2 linked regions of the Saccharomyces cerevisiae S288C genome follow. The protein of the gene in region 1 purifies or fractionates together with the protein of each later gene. This does not show direct contact. Each region holds a gene or a part of one and is shown in the gene's direction. Other genes may lie near its edges. The genes, in order: ENO1 and TDH1.

The links.
Region 2: the proteins of ENO1 (region 1) and TDH1 purify together in Saccharomyces cerevisiae (affinity purification with mass spectrometry; 2 studies listed by BioGRID, with this or other methods). This does not show direct contact.

Annotation. Positions count from the first base shown.
Region 1 is NC_001139.9:998,994-1,002,740, forward strand, and holds ENO1 (phosphopyruvate hydratase ENO1), read left to right. Parts: upstream 1-1,933; coding exon 1,934-3,247; downstream 3,248-3,747. Other genes in the region: PUP2 (proteasome core particle subunit alpha 5), read right to left, coding at 1-147; putative N,N-dimethylaniline monooxygenase COQ6, read right to left, coding at 3,530-3,747.
Region 2 is NC_001142.9:336,593-341,930, forward strand, and holds TDH1 (glyceraldehyde-3-phosphate dehydrogenase (phosphorylating) TDH1), read left to right. Parts: upstream 1-1,678; coding exon 1,679-2,677; downstream 2,678-5,338. Other genes in the region: retromer subunit PEP8, read left to right, coding at 1-445; YJL052C-A (uncharacterized protein), read right to left, coding at 1,292-1,411; IRC8 (Irc8p), read left to right, coding at 3,195-5,338. UniProt on the Saccharomyces cerevisiae protein: Glyceraldehyde-3-phosphate dehydrogenase (GAPDH) involved in glycolysis and gluconeogenesis. Catalyzes the reaction of glyceraldehyde-3-phosphate to 1,3 bis-phosphoglycerate.

The DNA of each region.
Region 1 (3,747 bases):
ACCTAGTACAACACCTTCTTTCGTGGCAATACCAATTGCTGTAGATCCTAATTTGATGGCCTCCAAAGAATACTCAACTTGGAATAACCTCCCTTCTGGGGAAAATGTGCTTACACCACGATCATATTCACTTCTAGTTAAGAACATCCTTTCTAGTTATATTAGACAATTGGAATTTATGTTCTTATTGACTTGTATTCTATAGTTATAGCGCTCTCTTGTCCAATTTCCTAGGTTACTCTTTTGCCACCGGTCTTGGTTTATGATAACCCTGTATAATGAAATTTCAAAAATATTTTCGTGAATAGTGATTTATTTAATTTAAGCACTAAATTATCCTTACGGACTTGGGCTACATTCATGTTTGCACGCTTAATAAAAAATCGGCGTACTTTCATCTATGCTTGGCTTATAATATGTTTGATAGTCAATTCATTTCAGTAAAAAGTCTTCAGCAGTAGTTGCAAAAGTGTCCTTTTTTACTTTTTGGGCTACATTATTCTTGAAAAAAGTTCATGTTTTGTTATTTCTTTCTCACATACTTTATAAAAAAAGATAATTTTTTTAAAAAAAAAAAAAAATACAAGTGGAACATTATCAAATAAAAAGCATTATAGCGCCACATGCGATGAACCTGAGCTTTTATCTTCATTAATATATAGTAATTACAACATGTTATTGAAATGCACAGCACTTATCCAGAGTTATTTGATATAAAGATTATGACTCAAATTCTTCTCGACAAACAAGAAACTTTCTCACCTACAAATGTCTTCAACAATTCTAATAATTGACACATAAGTATATTGTATATATAACATGGATATAAATGGCCCTATATTGAAAGCTATGTCAAAATAGGAATCCTTCCTTCCTCAGCGCTTTTTATCAAGGGCCAATTGATCTGATACACCTAGTAGTGTACTATAAGTGTAGAAAGCATACTATACTATTCGACACTTCCTTTCAATCCTGGAATTAACAGTCACTTTTAAAAAAGACATCTACCGTGAAGGTGCCGTAGAGTATCGCGTTACCATATCGCCAAAAACTGATATACGCCGCGGAAACCAGGCAAACAATTGAAAAGAAAAATTTTGAGGAACTCTCTGCATCGAAGCCGTCTAGAGTTACCACTAGTCAGATGCCGCGGGCACTTGAGCACCTCATGCACAGCAATAACACAACACAATGGTTAGTAGCAACCTGAATTCGGTCATTGATGCATGCATGTGCCGTGAAGCGGGACAACCAGAAAAGTCGTCTATAAATGCCGGCACGTGCGATCATCGTGGCGGGGTTTTAAGAGTGCATATCACAAATTGTCGCATTACCGCGGAACCGCCAGATATTCATTACTTGACGCAAAAGCGTTTGAAATAATGACGAAAAAGAAGGAAGAAAAAAAAAGAAAAATACCGCTTCTAGGCGGGTTATCTACTGATCCGAGCTTCCACTAGGATAGCACCCAAACACCTGCATATTTGGACGACCTTTACTTACACCACCAAAAACCACTTTCGCCTCTCCCGCCCCTGATAACGTCCACTAATTGAGCGATTACCTGAGCGGTCCTCTTTTGTTTGCAGCATGAGACTTGCATACTGCAAATCGTAAGTAGCAACGTCTCAAGGTCAAAACTGTATGGAAACCTTGTCACCTCACTTAATTCTAGCTAGCCTACCCTGCAAGTCAAGAGGTCTCCGTGATTCCTAGCCACCTCAAGGTATGCCTCTCCCCGGAAACTGTGGCCTTTTCTGGCACACATGATCTCCACGATTTCAACATATAAATAGCTTTTGATAATGGCAATATTAATCAAATTTATTTTACTTCTTTCTTGTAACATCTCTCTTGTAATCCCTTATTCCTTCTAGCTATTTTTCATAAAAAACCAAGCAACTGCTTATCAACACACAAACACTAAATCAAAATGGCTGTCTCTAAAGTTTACGCTAGATCCGTCTACGACTCCCGTGGTAACCCAACCGTCGAAGTCGAATTAACCACCGAAAAGGGTGTTTTCAGATCCATTGTCCCATCTGGTGCTTCTACCGGTGTCCACGAAGCTTTGGAAATGAGAGATGGTGACAAATCCAAGTGGATGGGTAAGGGTGTTTTGCACGCTGTTAAGAACGTCAACGATGTCATTGCTCCAGCTTTCGTTAAGGCTAACATTGATGTTAAGGACCAAAAGGCCGTCGATGACTTCTTGATTTCTTTGGACGGTACTGCCAACAAATCCAAGTTGGGTGCTAACGCTATCTTGGGTGTTTCTTTGGCTGCTTCCAGAGCTGCCGCTGCTGAAAAGAATGTCCCATTATACAAGCACTTGGCTGACTTGTCTAAGTCCAAGACCTCTCCATACGTTTTGCCAGTTCCATTCTTGAACGTTTTGAACGGTGGTTCCCACGCTGGTGGTGCTTTGGCTTTGCAAGAATTTATGATTGCTCCAACTGGTGCTAAGACCTTCGCTGAAGCTTTGAGAATTGGTTCCGAAGTTTACCACAACTTGAAGTCTTTGACCAAGAAGAGATACGGTGCTTCTGCCGGTAACGTCGGTGACGAAGGTGGTGTTGCTCCAAACATTCAAACTGCTGAAGAAGCTTTGGACTTGATTGTTGACGCTATCAAGGCTGCTGGTCACGACGGTAAGATCAAGATCGGTTTGGACTGTGCTTCCTCTGAATTCTTCAAGGACGGTAAGTACGACTTGGACTTCAAGAATCCAAACTCTGACAAATCCAAGTGGTTGACTGGTCCTCAATTGGCTGACTTGTACCACTCCTTGATGAAGAGATACCCAATTGTCTCCATCGAAGATCCATTTGCTGAAGATGACTGGGAAGCTTGGTCTCACTTCTTCAAGACCGCTGGTATTCAAATTGTTGCTGATGACTTGACTGTCACCAACCCAAAGAGAATTGCTACCGCTATCGAAAAGAAGGCTGCCGACGCTTTGTTGTTGAAGGTCAACCAAATCGGTACCTTGTCTGAATCCATCAAGGCTGCTCAAGACTCTTTCGCTGCCGGTTGGGGTGTTATGGTTTCCCACAGATCTGGTGAAACTGAAGACACTTTCATTGCTGACTTGGTCGTCGGTTTGAGAACTGGTCAAATCAAGACTGGTGCTCCAGCTAGATCCGAAAGATTGGCTAAATTGAACCAATTGTTGAGAATCGAAGAAGAATTAGGTGACAACGCTGTTTTCGCTGGTGAAAACTTCCACCACGGTGACAAATTATAAAGCTTTTGATTAAGCCTTCTAGTCCAAAAAACACGTTTTTTTGTCATTTATTTCATTTTCTTAGAATAGTTTAGTTTATTCATTTTATAGTCACGAATGTTTTATGATTCTATATAGGGTTGCAAACAAGCATTTTTCATTTTATGTTAAAACAATTTCAGGTTTACCTTTTATTCTGCTTGTGGTGACGCGTGTATCCGCCCGCTCTTTTGGTCACCCATGTATTTAATTGCATAAATAATTCTTAAAAGTGGAGCTAGTCTATTTCTATTTACATACCTCTCATTTCTCATTTCCTCCTAATGTGTCAATGATCATATTCTTAACTGGACCGATCTTATTCGTCAGATTCAAACCAAAAGTTCTTAGGGCTACCACAGGAGGAAAATTAGTGTGATATAATTTAAATAATTTATCCGCCATTCCTAATAGAACGTTGTTCGACGGATATCTTTCTGCCCAAAAGGGTTCTAAGCTCAATGAAGAGCCAATGTCTAAAC
Region 2 (5,338 bases), on another chromosome or scaffold:
TCAAGTTTTGCCGATATCACATTCAAATAATGAGCCCAAGCCTGTTAGATTGGATATAGGTATAGAAAATTGCCTTCACATTGAGTTTGAATATGCCAAATCCCAGTACAGCTTAAAAGAAGTCATTGTGGGGCGTATATATTTCCTTTTAACGAGACTAAGGATAAAACATATGGAATTAAGCTTGATCACAAGAGAATCTTCCGGCCTACAAACTTCTAATGTAATGACAGATTCCACTGCTATCCGATACGAAATAATGGATGGGTCTTCAGTGAAAGGTGAAACCATACCCATAAGATTATTCTTGAGCGGCTATGACCTGACGCCCAATATGAGCTGCAACTACTTTAACGTCAAGAATTATTTGAGCTTGGTTATTATCGATGAAGATGGCAGAAGATATTTTAAACAATCAGAAATAACATTGTACAGGACCCGGTAGAAAAGCTCGACCTTAAATAAGGTGAAGATGTGGTTCTCTGTTCTTTCAACATCTCGATATTTAACTTTTCGTTTGGCATTATAGTGTTATACATAACAATATCTAGATTTCAGTAGAAGACTTTTGCGTAAGTTATAACGAACTAAACAAGCAAGAGGTAAAATACGATATAGTAAGAAGCTCAAGTGCTAAAACTTTTTTTCTCTACGAAAGGAGGAATAGCATATGGTTTTCTTCCCTTTTACAGTGCTTCGGAAAAGCACAGCGTTGTCCAAGGGAACAATTTTTCTTCAAGTTAATGCATAAGAAATATCTTTTTTTATGTTTAGCTAAGTAAAAGCAGCTTGGAGTAAAAAAAAAAATGAGTAAATTTCTCGATGGATTAGTTTCTCACAGGTAACATAACAAAAACCAAGAAAAGCCCGCTTCTGAAAACTACAGTTGACTTGTATGCTAAAGGGCCAGACTAATGGGAGGAGAAAAAGAAACGAATGTATATGCTCATTTACACTCTATATCACCATATGGAGGATAAGTTGGGCTGAGCTTCTGATCCAATTTATTCTATCCATTAGTTGCTGATATGTCCCACCAGCCAACACTTGATAGTATCTACTCGCCATTCACTTCCAGCAGCGCCAGTAGGGTTGTTGAGCTTAGTAAAAATGTGCGCACCACAAGCCTACATGACTCCACGTCACATGAAACCACACCGTGGGGCCTTGTTGCGCTAGGAATAGGATATGCGACGAAGACGCTTCTGCTTAGTAACCACACCACATTTTCAGGGGGTCGATCTGCTTGCTTCCTTTACTGTCACGAGCGGCCCATAATCGCGCTTTTTTTTTAAAAGGCGCGAGACAGCAAACAGGAAGCTCGGGTTTCAACCTTCGGAGTGGTCGCAGATCTGGAGACTGGATCTTTACAATACAGTAAGGCAAGCCACCATCTGCTTCTTAGGTGCATGCGACGGTATCCACGTGCAGAACAACATAGTCTGAAGAAGGGGGGGAGGAGCATGTTCATTCTCTGTAGCAGTAAGAGCTTGGTGATAATGACCAAAACTGGAGTCTCGAAATCATATAAATAGACAATATATTTTCACACAATGAGATTTGTAGTACAGTTCTATTCTCTCTCTTGCATAAATAAGAAATTCATCAAGAACTTGGTTTGATATTTCACCAACACACACAAAAAACAGTACTTCACTAAATTTACACACAAAACAAAATGATCAGAATTGCTATTAACGGTTTCGGTAGAATCGGTAGATTGGTCTTGAGATTGGCTTTGCAAAGAAAAGACATTGAGGTTGTTGCTGTCAACGATCCATTTATCTCTAACGATTATGCTGCTTACATGGTCAAGTACGATTCTACTCATGGTAGATACAAGGGTACTGTTTCCCATGACGACAAGCACATCATCATTGATGGTGTCAAGATCGCTACCTACCAAGAAAGAGACCCAGCTAACTTGCCATGGGGTTCTCTAAAGATCGATGTCGCTGTTGACTCCACTGGTGTTTTCAAGGAATTGGACACCGCTCAAAAGCACATTGACGCTGGTGCCAAGAAGGTTGTCATCACTGCTCCATCTTCTTCTGCTCCAATGTTTGTTGTTGGTGTTAACCACACTAAATACACTCCAGACAAGAAGATTGTCTCCAACGCTTCTTGTACCACCAACTGTTTGGCTCCATTGGCCAAGGTTATCAACGATGCTTTCGGTATTGAAGAAGGTTTGATGACCACTGTTCACTCCATGACCGCCACTCAAAAGACTGTTGATGGTCCATCCCACAAGGACTGGAGAGGTGGTAGAACCGCTTCCGGTAACATTATCCCATCCTCTACCGGTGCTGCTAAGGCTGTCGGTAAGGTCTTGCCAGAATTGCAAGGTAAGTTGACCGGTATGGCTTTCAGAGTCCCAACCGTCGATGTTTCCGTTGTTGACTTGACTGTCAAGTTGGAAAAGGAAGCTACTTACGACCAAATCAAGAAGGCTGTTAAGGCTGCCGCTGAAGGTCCAATGAAGGGTGTTTTGGGTTACACCGAAGATGCCGTTGTCTCCTCTGATTTCTTGGGTGACACTCACGCTTCCATCTTCGATGCCTCCGCTGGTATCCAATTGTCTCCAAAGTTCGTCAAGTTGATTTCCTGGTACGATAACGAATACGGTTACTCCGCCAGAGTTGTTGACTTGATCGAATATGTTGCCAAGGCTTAAATAAAGCAATCTTGATGAGGATAATGATTTTTTTTTGAATATACATAAATACTACCGTTTTTCTGCTAGATTTTGTGAAGACGTAAATAAGTACATATTACTTTTTAAGCCAAGACAAGATTAAGCATTAACTTTACCCTTTTCTCTTCTAAGTTTCAATACTAGTTATCACTGTTTAAAAGTTATGGCGAGAACGTCGGCGGTTAAAATATATTACCCTGAACGTGGTGAATTGAAGTTCTAGGATGGTTTAAAGATTTTTCCTTTTTGGGAAATAAGTAAACAATATATTGCTGCCTTTGCAAAACGCACATACCCACAATATGTGACTATTGGCAAAGAACGCATTATCCTTTGAAGAGGTGGATACTGATACTAAGAGAGTCTCTATTCCGGCTCCACTTTTAGTCCAGAGATTACTTGTCTTCTTACGTATCAGAACAAGAAAGCATTTCCAAAGTAATTGCATTTGCCCTTGAGCAGTATATATATACTAAGAAAGGAATCATACTCTCTTATGTGCCATAATTCTGTTAGGAGCGGAAATAAGGCTGGTTTTTTGGGGATCAAGTTCGGAAGTGCTCTTCTCTCAATTGCCACAGGTGCCATTGCTATCGCATTGCTATGCAAGTTCCACGACCACGAAGCGGTACTGATAGTTATTGTATGCTCGACATTGTTATATGGAATACCGTCACTGATATCGTTTATCACAGAGACTGTTTTTGCGCCTAGCAAGTTTCATATTGGATACTTTTACAACGTTCTTAATTTTGCATTGCCACTGATCACCATGGGCTGCACAGTGGACTATTTTCATAATACCTTGAGGAGCCCAATATCGGTACAAAGCGAGTCTCACAGAGTCTATATAACAACTCTGGATTCTTTGTTAATTTTCACACTTTTCATTAATGGCATACAATTAGGATTCTTCCTGAAGGATGGCAATGCGAACAATTTCGGCAGCTCATCTAACAATATTAGTACGGATCAATATGACAAAGAAGCAAATGCGGTGGAAAATGGTAGATTTGTACCCCTTAAGAACTCTTCACAGACCTTAACACCAGATTTGGAATTATTACACGGTAGTCCCAAGAGTATGAATGGGGTAGCGTGGCTGATTAATGAACTCTCCACAAATTCAAACACAAACGCAAACAAAACCATATCATCCGATGAAAATTCAAACTCTTCAGTTATTCGACACAAATTAGGACCGATTAGCACCAGCAAGTGTCCTAAAAAGCCATCTCATTCGCATTTTTCTAAATTGAAAAAATATAACAGTTTCTTTTTGGGTCCTAAAGAAAATCGATACAAAAGAAATACACAACAAGCTACTAAGGTTCCGACAGAAAAGAAAAGCAACCACCGAAGTAGCCAGTATGTATCCAGACTATCAACCATATCTGACATCTCGAAAAGTTTCCTGAATTTCTTAGCATTAAACGAAAAAAACGGGAATTCGACTTCCACTGCGAGAACACCAAGTGAAGGAAGAGTTTCAATAATAATTAACGAAGGAAATAATACTTTGAAATACAAAACTCCCCATGATTCGCATACTATTGATTCTCCAAACTTGGAGTTAGAAAGAGAAGCTATTGGGAGAATTAATAGTGCCTTACTTCCTGCATGTTTGAGAGTAACAGATAAAATGATATCCCCACAGCAAAGCACTCAAAATGAGGACTCATACCAAGCAACACCATTGATACCCCAGGTGGAAGTTGACGATGATTTCTATGTAGGTGATATCTTAATGACTAATGAACTACAAGACATTCCACAAGTCCCAAGGATATCATCTGATATAGAAGACGATTTCGAACAACAATATACCAAACACGTGGATTTGCCAGCCCGTGTCACTTTAGAGATGTGGGAAAAGGATCAGGAGAAAATACTTCAAAAAGTAACCACAAACCGGGATAAAAGCAAATTACTACCCCCTTTCAGATTCACCTCTGAAAGTGATATGGATCCAAGTACATCCACCGAATTGGAAGTTGAACTGCATGCCCAAAACAACTTCAGCTTTCCCTTTAAAAGTGCAGGATTACAAATTGCTACATCAGACCAATTTAACCAACAGGAGTTTAAAACTTCAGATACTATTAGCGAACTAGATGAGTATTTACATGATCCCAGCATTCAAGAAGAGGATGCAAGTCAGCTGATTGAAAGCAGTTTGAACCAAAACAACCTATCCTCAACTACTATTGACAATGGCCCAAAGGATATGAGTAGATTTAGTACAAGGCATTCACCAACCAAATCGATAATTTCCATGATCAGTGGATCAGGAAGTGTCAAGCACCAACATTCACACAGCACCCTAAGCAACTTTTTTACGGGTCATTCAAGAAACAATTCTCAAATAAATCAGCTATTACAGGGTTCTTCTTCTAATATGATGTCCAACACCTCACCGCATTCATCTCCAACCAAGTCGTTGAGAATGAGATTTGGAAAGAAATTGTCATTATCAAATATCTCTGATACAATGTCGCCATATGAGGGTAGTACAACAGATCCGATAAACTACTCGTTTGGCCATGGTCACAATAAAAACCAGAGTATTGATTTTAGCTACGTACGTACTTTGCAAAGCAGTCATTCACCTACAAAATCAACCTCGGGAAATTCTCGTCG